2 linked regions of the Macaca mulatta genome follow. Each later gene encodes a partner of the first gene's protein in a complex. Links are inferred from orthologs where the notes say so. Each region holds a gene or a part of one and is shown on either strand. Other genes may lie near its edges. The genes, in order: CDK4 and CCND3.

Region 1 (4,321 bases):
GATTTTACACAAATTCTCACAAATGAGACACTAACCGCTTTCCTCCTTTACTCCCATACCCTCAAAGGGCTAGGACATGAAGACCTTGGAGCCAATAAAACAAAGAAAGTAGGAGAAATCTACCTACGTCTACCTCGGTGTCTGTGGGCAGAGGCCATTTGGGAAAAAGTGTGTTCTGGACACCGCTAAGTGCTAAGAAAGAGGCACTAGGGAAAAAGAGGGAAGCACAATGACTCCAAATGAGCAGTCACAAGGTTTACAGAAGGAGACATGTCATTTTCATTCATTGTGGTGGTCTGGAGGGTGCAGGGGGTGTGGTGGTAACTTTCTTGCACATGTACACTCCTGTATCCATCTTATATATTACATGTAATAAATAATATATACATACATATATACATAGAAGTATATATACACATATAAAAATATCACATAATCATAGAACCGTCCTACTGGGGAAAAAAAAAACTTAAAGGTCAAGTATTCCTGTCTCCTGCTCATTAATAACTTCTCTGCCAGATGGCCTCAGGTCTTTGCATTAACACTCCCAGGGAGATTTGGAAGTTGAGAAAAGAGGGGGCATTACCTTGTCACTGAACCTGTTGGATTACTGTATTAATCTGCCTTCTGTCCGTCCTTTAATCGTAGTTTTGCCCTCAAATGGGCATTGTTTACTCCCTATTTTAGAAGACCCCATTGTTGGCTACATCTTTCTAGATAGTCGTACCACTACTTTAAAGGGCCAGTGACAGACACCAGAAACAAAACAAAATAAAAACCCACATACACACTGGAAGCAAGCACTCAGTAAAATGTTGTAGAATTAATGAATGAATCAATGACACAAATGAGAGTATGTTTTATCATGGTGGAGCGAAAAGGTGACAGCATCACCTCTGGTACCCCAACTCCCATTCCCTCCCCAATGTAGACAGGCTGAAAGACCGGTAGTGAGACTGGAGTTCAGCCTTCAGACCGGTAGTGAGACAATCCTTCAGCCGGGAGTTGGGCTCTGGGTGGCCTAGGTTGCCATGGCACCGCCTCGGGCTCCACCCTCTCTTGTCCCCTTACCGCGCCCCCCCGCGGCGGGGGTTGTGGCAGCCAGTCATGTGCCCGCCGCGTAACCACACCTCTGCTCCTCAGAGCAATGTCAAGCGGTCACGTGTGATAGCAACAGATCACGTGGCTACCATCGCCCCTCCGCCCCCTTACACTCTTCGCCCTCCTCCCCGTCAAAGCGGCTCCTGGCCACCCCTCCGCGCATGGGTGGCAGTCACGTGCCCAGAACGTCCGGCGTTCGCCCCGCCCTCCCAGTTTCCGCGCGCCTCTTTGGCAGCTGGTCACATGGTGAGGGTGGGGGTGAGGGGGCCTCTCTAGCTTGCGGCCTGTGTCTATGGTCGGGCCCTCTGCGTCCAGCTGCCCCGGACCGAGCTTGGGTGTATGGGGCCGTAGGAACCAGCTCCGGGGCCCCGATAACGGGCCGCCCCCGCAGCACCCCGGCCTGGCGTGAGGTAAGTGCAGTCCCTTCCCGGGAATGAGAACCAGTGCCCGCCCCCCTCACAGTTTTCCACGCGTTCGTTTCTCGAGCTGGTTATGGAGGGGTCGCTCAAGGGCGGGAAGTGGGGCCTTTGTGGTCATGGGAAAGTATAATTTTAGGGACTGAGGTGTAGGATCTTTGATGCAAGGCATGTGTCATGTGTGATCTTTGTGCAGGGCGCGATTGTCCCAAAGGAAAATGCGTTTTTTATTGCAGGGCCTCACGTGGCTGGAGGGGTTGGTATTGAGTCATTGTGTTATCTCTGGGGCCGGCCCCAAGGAAGGCTGCGAGCGGGGGATGGGATGCTAGTGTTGCTCTTTGTGCTTTTTTTTGGGAGTCCTTTTGTTGCTGCAGGCTCATACCATGCTAATTCTGTAAGGGACTTTTGGTGATAGGAGTCTGTGATTGTAGGGTCGCCCTTGATCTGAGAATGGCTACCTCTCGATATGAGCCAGTGGCTGAAATTGGTGTCGGTGCCTATGGGACAGTGTACAAGGCCCGTGATCCCCACAGTGGCCACTTTGTGGCCCTCAAGAGTGTGAGAGTCCCCAATGGAGGAGGAGCTGGAGGAGGCCTTCCCATCAGCACAGTTCGGGAGGTGGCCTTACTGAGGCGACTGGAGGCTTTTGAACATCCCAATGTAGTCCGGTGAGAAGGTGGTGACGAGGGGAGTGGGGAGTAAAGGGAAAAGACAGCCTATAGGTGGGGTGTGGTGATCTGTAGAGAAGTGGGGACCCTGAGGAAATAATGAGAGGCCATGTTGGGTTAAAGGGGATTGAAAAGTGAGCATTTACTCTGGCCAGGCTGATGGACGTCTGTGCCACATCCCGAACTGACCGGGAGATCAAGGTAACCCTGGTGTTTGAGCATGTAGACCAAGACCTAAGGACGTATCTGGACAAAGCACCCCCACCAGGCTTGCCAGCCGAGACCATCAAGGTGAGTGGGGTTGGTAGGCATTGAGAGGTGGATTGGGACCTTTGTAGTAAAACCTCCTGGGATTTCAGGTATGGTGTGCCTAGTTTCCAGTGCATCTGTACCTCCCCCTTCTAAACTAGGATTTGATGCGCCAGTTTCTAAGAGGCCTAGATTTCCTTCATGCAAATTGCATCGTTCACCGAGATCTGAAGCCAGAGAACATTCTGGTGACAAGTGGTGGAACAGTCAAGCTGGCTGACTTTGGCCTGGCCAGAATCTACAGCTACCAGATGGCACTTACACCCGTGGTCAGTAGAAAGATGGTACCAAAATGGGTTCTGGTTGGGAGTAGGAGAGTGATTGCCTGTAGCAATTGAGAAGTCATGTGCTTCGTGTGTTCAGTCAAGCAAGTTGTGTTTTGTGGTAACCCATGGAGTCCCCATCCATTCTTCCTATTCTCTTTAGGTTGTTACACTCTGGTACCGAGCTCCCGAAGTTCTTCTGCAGTCCACATATGCAACACCTGTGGACATGTGGAGTGTTGGCTGTATCTTTGCAGAGATGTTTCGTCGAAAGTATGGGACCCACATACCCTGGACCACCTTGAATTCCCCAAATTGCTTGTTCATAAACCACGTCCACACCCTGCCCATTCTTTCTTTTTCTCTTTTTTTTTTTTTTTTTTTTTTTTTTGAGACCAGGGCTTGCTTTGTTGCTCAGGCTGGATTGCAATGGCATGATCACAGCTCACTGCAGTGTCAACCTCCTGGGCTCAAGTGATCCTCCCATCTCAGCCTCCCAAGTAGCTGACACTCCATGCCCAGCTAGTTTTTTAATATTTCTGTAGAGAGGGGGGGTCTCAGTATATTGCCCAGGCTGGTCTTGAACTCTTGTACTCAAGCAGTCCTCCCACCGCTATCTCCCAAAGTGCTGGGATTACAAGCGTGAACTACTGGACCTGGCCCCATTCTTTTACTTGCATACTACTGACTACTTTGCCCATAGCAGAAAGCTCTGAAATGCTCTAGAATTAGGAACTTCATATCCCTTTATTCTCTTTTATTTATTTATTTATTTTTGCAATAAGGTTTCACTCTGTCACCCAGGCTGGAGTGCAATGGCCCAATTACAGCTCACTGTAGCCTCTATCTCCTGGGCTCAAGCAATTCTCCCATCTCAGCCTCCTGAGTAGCAGAAACTATAGGTGCATGCCACCATGACTGGCTTTTTTTTTTTTTTTGAGACGGAGTCTCGCCTTGTCGCCAGGCTGGAGTGCAGTGGTGCGATCTCAGCTCACTGCAACCTCCGCCTCCCAGGTTCAAGTGATTCTCCTGACTCAGCCTCCCAAGTAGCTGGGACTACAGGTGCGTGCCACCACGTCCAGCTAATTTTTGTATTTTTAGTAGAGACGGGGTTTCACCATGTTGGCCAGGATGGTCTCAATCTCTTGACCTCATGATCCACCTGCCTCAGCCTCCTAACGTGCTGGGATTACAGGCGTGAGCCACTGTGCCCAGCAATTTTTTTTTTTTTTTTTTTTTTTTTTTTAAGAGACAAGGTCTTGCTTGCCCAGGCTGATCTGGAACTCCTGGGCTCAAGCAGTCCTCTCACCTTAGCATCCCAAAGTGCTGGAATTATCGACCTTTATTCCCTGTGCTTTCTATTTTGGGCCACTAAGCAGTAACCATTCAACTAAGATATCTTTGAAAATGACTGCTACCTTATGTCCCTTCTCACCTTAGGCCTCTCTTCTGTGGAAACTCTGAAGCTGACCAGTTGGGCAAAATCTTTGAGTAAGTGACCAACGTGGGAGAAAAAGATTTTCTATTCTCAGTCCTCTTTCTGCTAAGCCCAGGATGGCAACTG
Region 2 (4,367 bases), on another chromosome or scaffold:
TATAGCCTCCTCCCATTTGGAGCATTATTGGAGGTCTTTTGTCTGCTTCTTGGTCAAGGGAATCCAGCTTCCGGTAAAACTACAAAGTAACCAAAAGTTTGGGAGGTGGAAGAAATGCAACCGGTAGATCTCAGAGTCTGTGGGAGAAACTGATTCAGTGAGAATCTAGTTTTTCCGTCCAGTTTCTCCAAACAGAAACTAAGGCCGACTTTAGGGGCTTGTCCAAAGCTGGGCAACCAACTTGACAAGGTGAGGAGGCCTTGACTCCATGGCCTTTCCGTTCTGTTATATGCTGATTTAGACTAAGGCTCTCATACTTTATTTTTTTTTTTTTATTTTTATTTTTTTTTTTTTGAGACGGAGTCTCGCTCTGTGGCCCAGGCTGGAGTGCAGTGGCGCGATCTCGGCTCACTGCAAGCTCCGCCTCCCGGGTTCACGCCATTCTCCTGCCTCAGCCTCCCGAGTAGCTGGGACTACAGGCGCCCACAACCGCGCCCGGCTAATTTTTTGTATTTTTAGTAGAGACGGGGTTTCACCGTGGTCTCGATCTCCTGACCTTGTGATCCGCCCGCCTCGGCCTCCCAAAGTGCTGGGATTACAGGCGTGAGCCACCGCGCCCGGCCCAGCTCTCATACTTTAAAGTGCACAGAAATCTAGTTAAAATGCAGATTCTGATTCAGGTTAGGGGTGGGCCTGAGAGTCTGCATTTCTAACCAGCTCCCAGGCGATGACCATGCACGGGACAGGTCTGGGATCACTGTTTAACTAGCAGTGGTGTAGAGCACAGAATCTGGAGCAAGAAGGCCAGATTCCCAATCCTAGCTCTGCCACGGGCCAACCGAATGACAGTTGCCTCGGTTTCCGAGTTTTCGTGAAGATGTAGTGAGTCATTACATTGTGAGGCTTTGGAGCAGTGTTCACTAAGAACTGACTCTGACATTATTTATCGCATTCCTTAGAGCAAGCAGCCGGTGAAGTAGGGTTTGACGAATGAATAAGTGAATGAATGACCTTTGGAGAAAAATTCTTTCCTGGGTGACTAGAGTCCGAGAAGCAAAATGGGAGGGCTCGTGGGTGGGTAGGAGGCCCACCTCCTAGAAAGTTCTCTGCACCCGGTGGTCCAGAGGGCCCGGAGTGCCCGGAAGCCGGCCGGCTTGCGCTCAGCGGCCCAATGGGGCCGCGGGAGGGAGGGGAGAGCGCCCAGCCAGCCCTTTCCGTCCGGGGCGCCGCAGCCCCGCCCCTCGGAGCGTTGCGACGTCCGAGCATTCCACGGTTGCTACATCGTCGCGAGGGGCGGGGCGCCTGTCAGGGAAGCGGCGCGCGCGGGCGGCGGGCGGGCTGGGGATCCGCCGCGCAGTGCCAGCGCCAGCGCCAGCGCCAGACCCGCTCTCCGCGCTCTCCGGCCCGTCGCCTGCCTTGAAACTCGCGAGCCCGCACTCCCGCCCTGCCTGTGCGCTGCCCGAGTATGGAGCTGCTGTGTTGCGAAGGCACCCGGCACGCGCCCCGGGCCGGGCCGGACCCGCGGCTACTCGGGGACCAGCGTGTCCTGCAGAGCCTGCTCCGCCTGGAGGAGCGCTACGTGCCCCGCGCCTCCTACTTCCAGTGCGTGCAGCGGGAGATAAAGCCGCACATGCGGAAGATGCTGGCTTACTGGATGCTGGAGGTACCGCCCGGACGCGTCCCCCTCCCCCACCGCTCCCGGGTCTGGACACACCGGGGCCGCCCTGTCGGGACATCGCGGTCCCCACAGCAATCTGCAGGATGCTCCGAGGCTAAGACCCCCGGGGCCTGGCCTTTCACTAGGGCACCCTAGCCAGCTGCCTCCCTTGCTTTCCCGAGCCCTAATCGGCTCCTCCCAACTGTGAGTGCCAGTCACTTGGCACCGTAACTGTGCCTCTCTTCGGGCCGAGAAAACGGGACCAGGGACATCGTCTCCCCTTCGGCTTCTCACAGCGTCTCCCACTTCCCTCCCCCTCCCGGCCTTCTCCGGAGAGCGCGCCTGGAAAACCCTGGGCTCGGCCGCCCCCGCCCGGGAGCCGGTTCCTGTGTCTGTCGCGGGGTTCTGGCGGGGAAGGCGATGGGGGTGGCGCGCGCCCTGTTCCGGCCGACAGGGAAATGAAAAGTGCGGGAGGCAGTGGCAGGAGCCTCCTCCCTTCCCTTCGGGTGTGTGCAGTGGTGGCGGTGATGGGGGTGAGGTCCCAGCTCTCTGGCTACCATGGGTGACCCTTGCGTCCCACTTCCCGTCGCTGTGGGGGAGGGGAGTCTCCGTTTGGAATCCTTCTTGAGGAAGGGCTCCTTGACTTTACCACCCCCACCCCACCAAGGGGAGAGGGGAGGAGGCCGCGCAGAGGAAGTGGGGGGCGTCACCTTGGGGAGGGCCCATCCTCCTCCTTTATTGGTCCTTGTCTCTGTAAGTAGCTTACCCTCTCTCCCGTTTTTGCTCCCTATCCCACCTCACTTCAGCGCCCCCACCCCCGCGCTGCTGTGTTCCCCACGCTCCGGCCCCAGCAGTGACTGTGCGCCCTCCCCCAGGTATGTGAGGAGCAGCGCTGTGAGGAGGAAGTCTTCCCCCTGGCCATGAACTACCTGGATCGCTACCTGTCCTGTGTCCCCACCCGAAAGGCGCAGTTGCAGCTCCTGGGTGCGGTCTGCATGCTGCTGGCCTCCAAGCTGCGCGAGACCACGCCCCTGACCATCGAAAAACTGTGCATCTACACCGACCACGCTGTCTCTCCCCGCCAGTTGCGGGTGCGTGTGTAACTCCCCCCACCCCCGACACATACTGTCTCCCCACTTTCCAGGAAAAGGAACGCTTGAGATATCAGAGGCTTTCTGCTCCCTGGAGAGGGCGCAAGGCGATCAGGACCTTTGGGAAGGGAATTAGGGTGGAACAAACGATGGGGCAGTGTGGTGTGATGGTTAGTATCACTCCCGCCTAGGCTCGAGCTGCAGTCAGGCATTAAACGCCCTCCTGACCTCCAGGGGATGCCACTCCTTCCTGGTCTTTCCCTCAGATAGCAACAAGTCAAACTGCATGTCTACACTCACTAGTACTTTGCCTCTGGGTTTACGCAGCCACCATGAGTTATTTATTGGCAGCAGAAGGGCATGCCTGCACACCCCCACTGGAGTAGGGGAGTGGAATGTGCTTCATGTGGGGGAGGGGGTTTGCCTTGGTTGAGTCTTTATCCTCATGTGGACTTTGTGATAGAAAAACCTCCCAGAGCCAATTAAAGCCAGGCTCTGATTGCTTTAAGGAAGGGCTGATGTATTTCATCCCACCTTCTTTGCTTCCTCTTATATCCCGGAAGAGACAGCTTCTTCCTAATCCTTTCCTGTCCTCATTCTGAGGAACTGGAGCAGCTGCTTTGGGCCTGGTGGAAACAGCTCCCTCTACCCCCCTTAGCCAAAGGCCCAAGCTGAGGGACAGGCAGGGAGGTGAGCTGCAGCTGCTTCCGATGTGATAATGGTGCCCCCTCCCCCGGCCCGCCCTCTCTGACCAAGGTCTTTCATAACCCTGTGGGGAGCTGCTGTCACTCCTGTGGTTTGGGAAGTGGCTCCCTGGGCCTCTTGCTGGAAACTTGGGCTGGGCTCAGACAGGGCAGGAAAGTCACCGGTTCTGTCCCGCCTCAGAAGGAGCCTCAGTCCCGGGCAGCTGCTGGATCTGGAAGAGGTTATTTAGGACATGCAGATTGTCTCCTAGGGGGCTGGGGGGAGAGGGTGGGTGAGCTGGCACTTTCTTCCACCTTGCTCTGTGGCGGGCCAAGTCTTCTGCTGACCCTGAGAGGAGTCTCTGGGCCCCATCTCCCAGGGAGGAGGGCAGCAAGCAGGCTGCTGTGATTGGCTGGCAGGGAAGCCAGGGTACTGGGGCCCCCGACTGCTGTGAGTCGAGGAACAGGATTCCTCTTCCTGCCAAGTAGCTCAGAGATGGGAGTAGGAGGCCAGAGTTGGGAATCCAGGAGACTCCACAGCTCTTTGTGATGAATCTGGTAGTTTTTGGCAAGTCTGAAGGTGGAGCTAGTTTCCAGGGCCAGAGAGCAAGATGTTTTTGGAGGGGTTGGGGCTGGAAGGTAGAAGGGGAACTTCCTTTTTGTGAAAAGATGGAGGTGGTGTGTGTGCCTACATATGAGGGTTTTTCAGTGCAGGCAAAAAGTACTCTTCCCTTTGTCTGAGCTGGGTGTGGAGTGCCCAGAAGACTTCCTAGAAGGTCAAGGTTGGAAGGGACCTCTGAGACCTCCAATTGGTCCATATCCGTGTGCAGCAGAGGAGGCTGAGGCCCAAGGAGGGAGGGAAAGCTCCCTGCCTCAGCATCGCACTGAGCAGATGAGTGTAGAACCTGGGTCTTCTAGCTAGACCAGGTTGCCTTA

Evidence for each region.
Region 2: the proteins of CDK4 (region 1) and CCND3 are in contact, whole or in part, in a crystal structure (PDB 7SJ3), measured with the Homo sapiens proteins. The link is inferred for Macaca mulatta from reciprocal best matches to the Homo sapiens genes CDK4 and CCND3. Residues at the interface, in NP_000066.1 of Homo sapiens: Gly46, Gly47, Gly48, Leu49, Ile51, Thr53, Val54, Arg55, Val57, Ala58, Leu59, Arg61, Arg62, Glu64, Ala65, Phe66, Val77, Ala79, Val89, Asp129, His132, Ala133, Asn134, Cys135, Arg163, Ile164, Tyr165, Ser166, Tyr167, Gln168; in NP_001751.1 of Homo sapiens: His11, Pro13, Arg14, Ala15, Gly16, Pro17, Asp18, Arg20, Leu21, Arg26, Val27, Ser30, Leu31, Arg33, Leu34, Arg37, Tyr38, Glu74, Lys112, Leu113, Arg114, Glu115, Thr116, Pro118, Ile121, Glu122, Pro134, Arg138, Glu141, Val142.

The regions. Positions count from the first base shown.
Region 1 is NC_133416.1:64,928,863-64,933,183, reverse strand, and holds the start of CDK4 (cyclin-dependent kinase 4), read left to right. Parts: upstream 1-1,355; 5' UTR 1,356-1,511; intron 1,512-1,948; 5' UTR 1,949-1,967; coding exon 1,968-2,185; intron 2,186-2,340; coding exon 2,341-2,476; intron 2,477-2,595; coding exon 2,596-2,763; intron 2,764-2,920; coding exon 2,921-3,030; intron 3,031-4,197; coding exon 4,198-4,248; intron 4,249-4,321.
Region 2 is NC_133409.1:140,231,154-140,235,520, forward strand, and holds the start of CCND3 (G1/S-specific cyclin-D3), read left to right. Parts: upstream 1-1,319; 5' UTR 1,320-1,465; coding exon 1,466-1,663; intron 1,664-1,953; coding exon of another isoform or gene 1,954-2,163; intron 2,164-2,532; coding exon 2,533-2,748; intron 2,749-4,367. UniProt on the Homo sapiens protein: Regulatory component of the cyclin D3-CDK4 (DC) complex that phosphorylates and inhibits members of the retinoblastoma (RB) protein family including RB1 and regulates the cell-cycle during G(1)/S transition.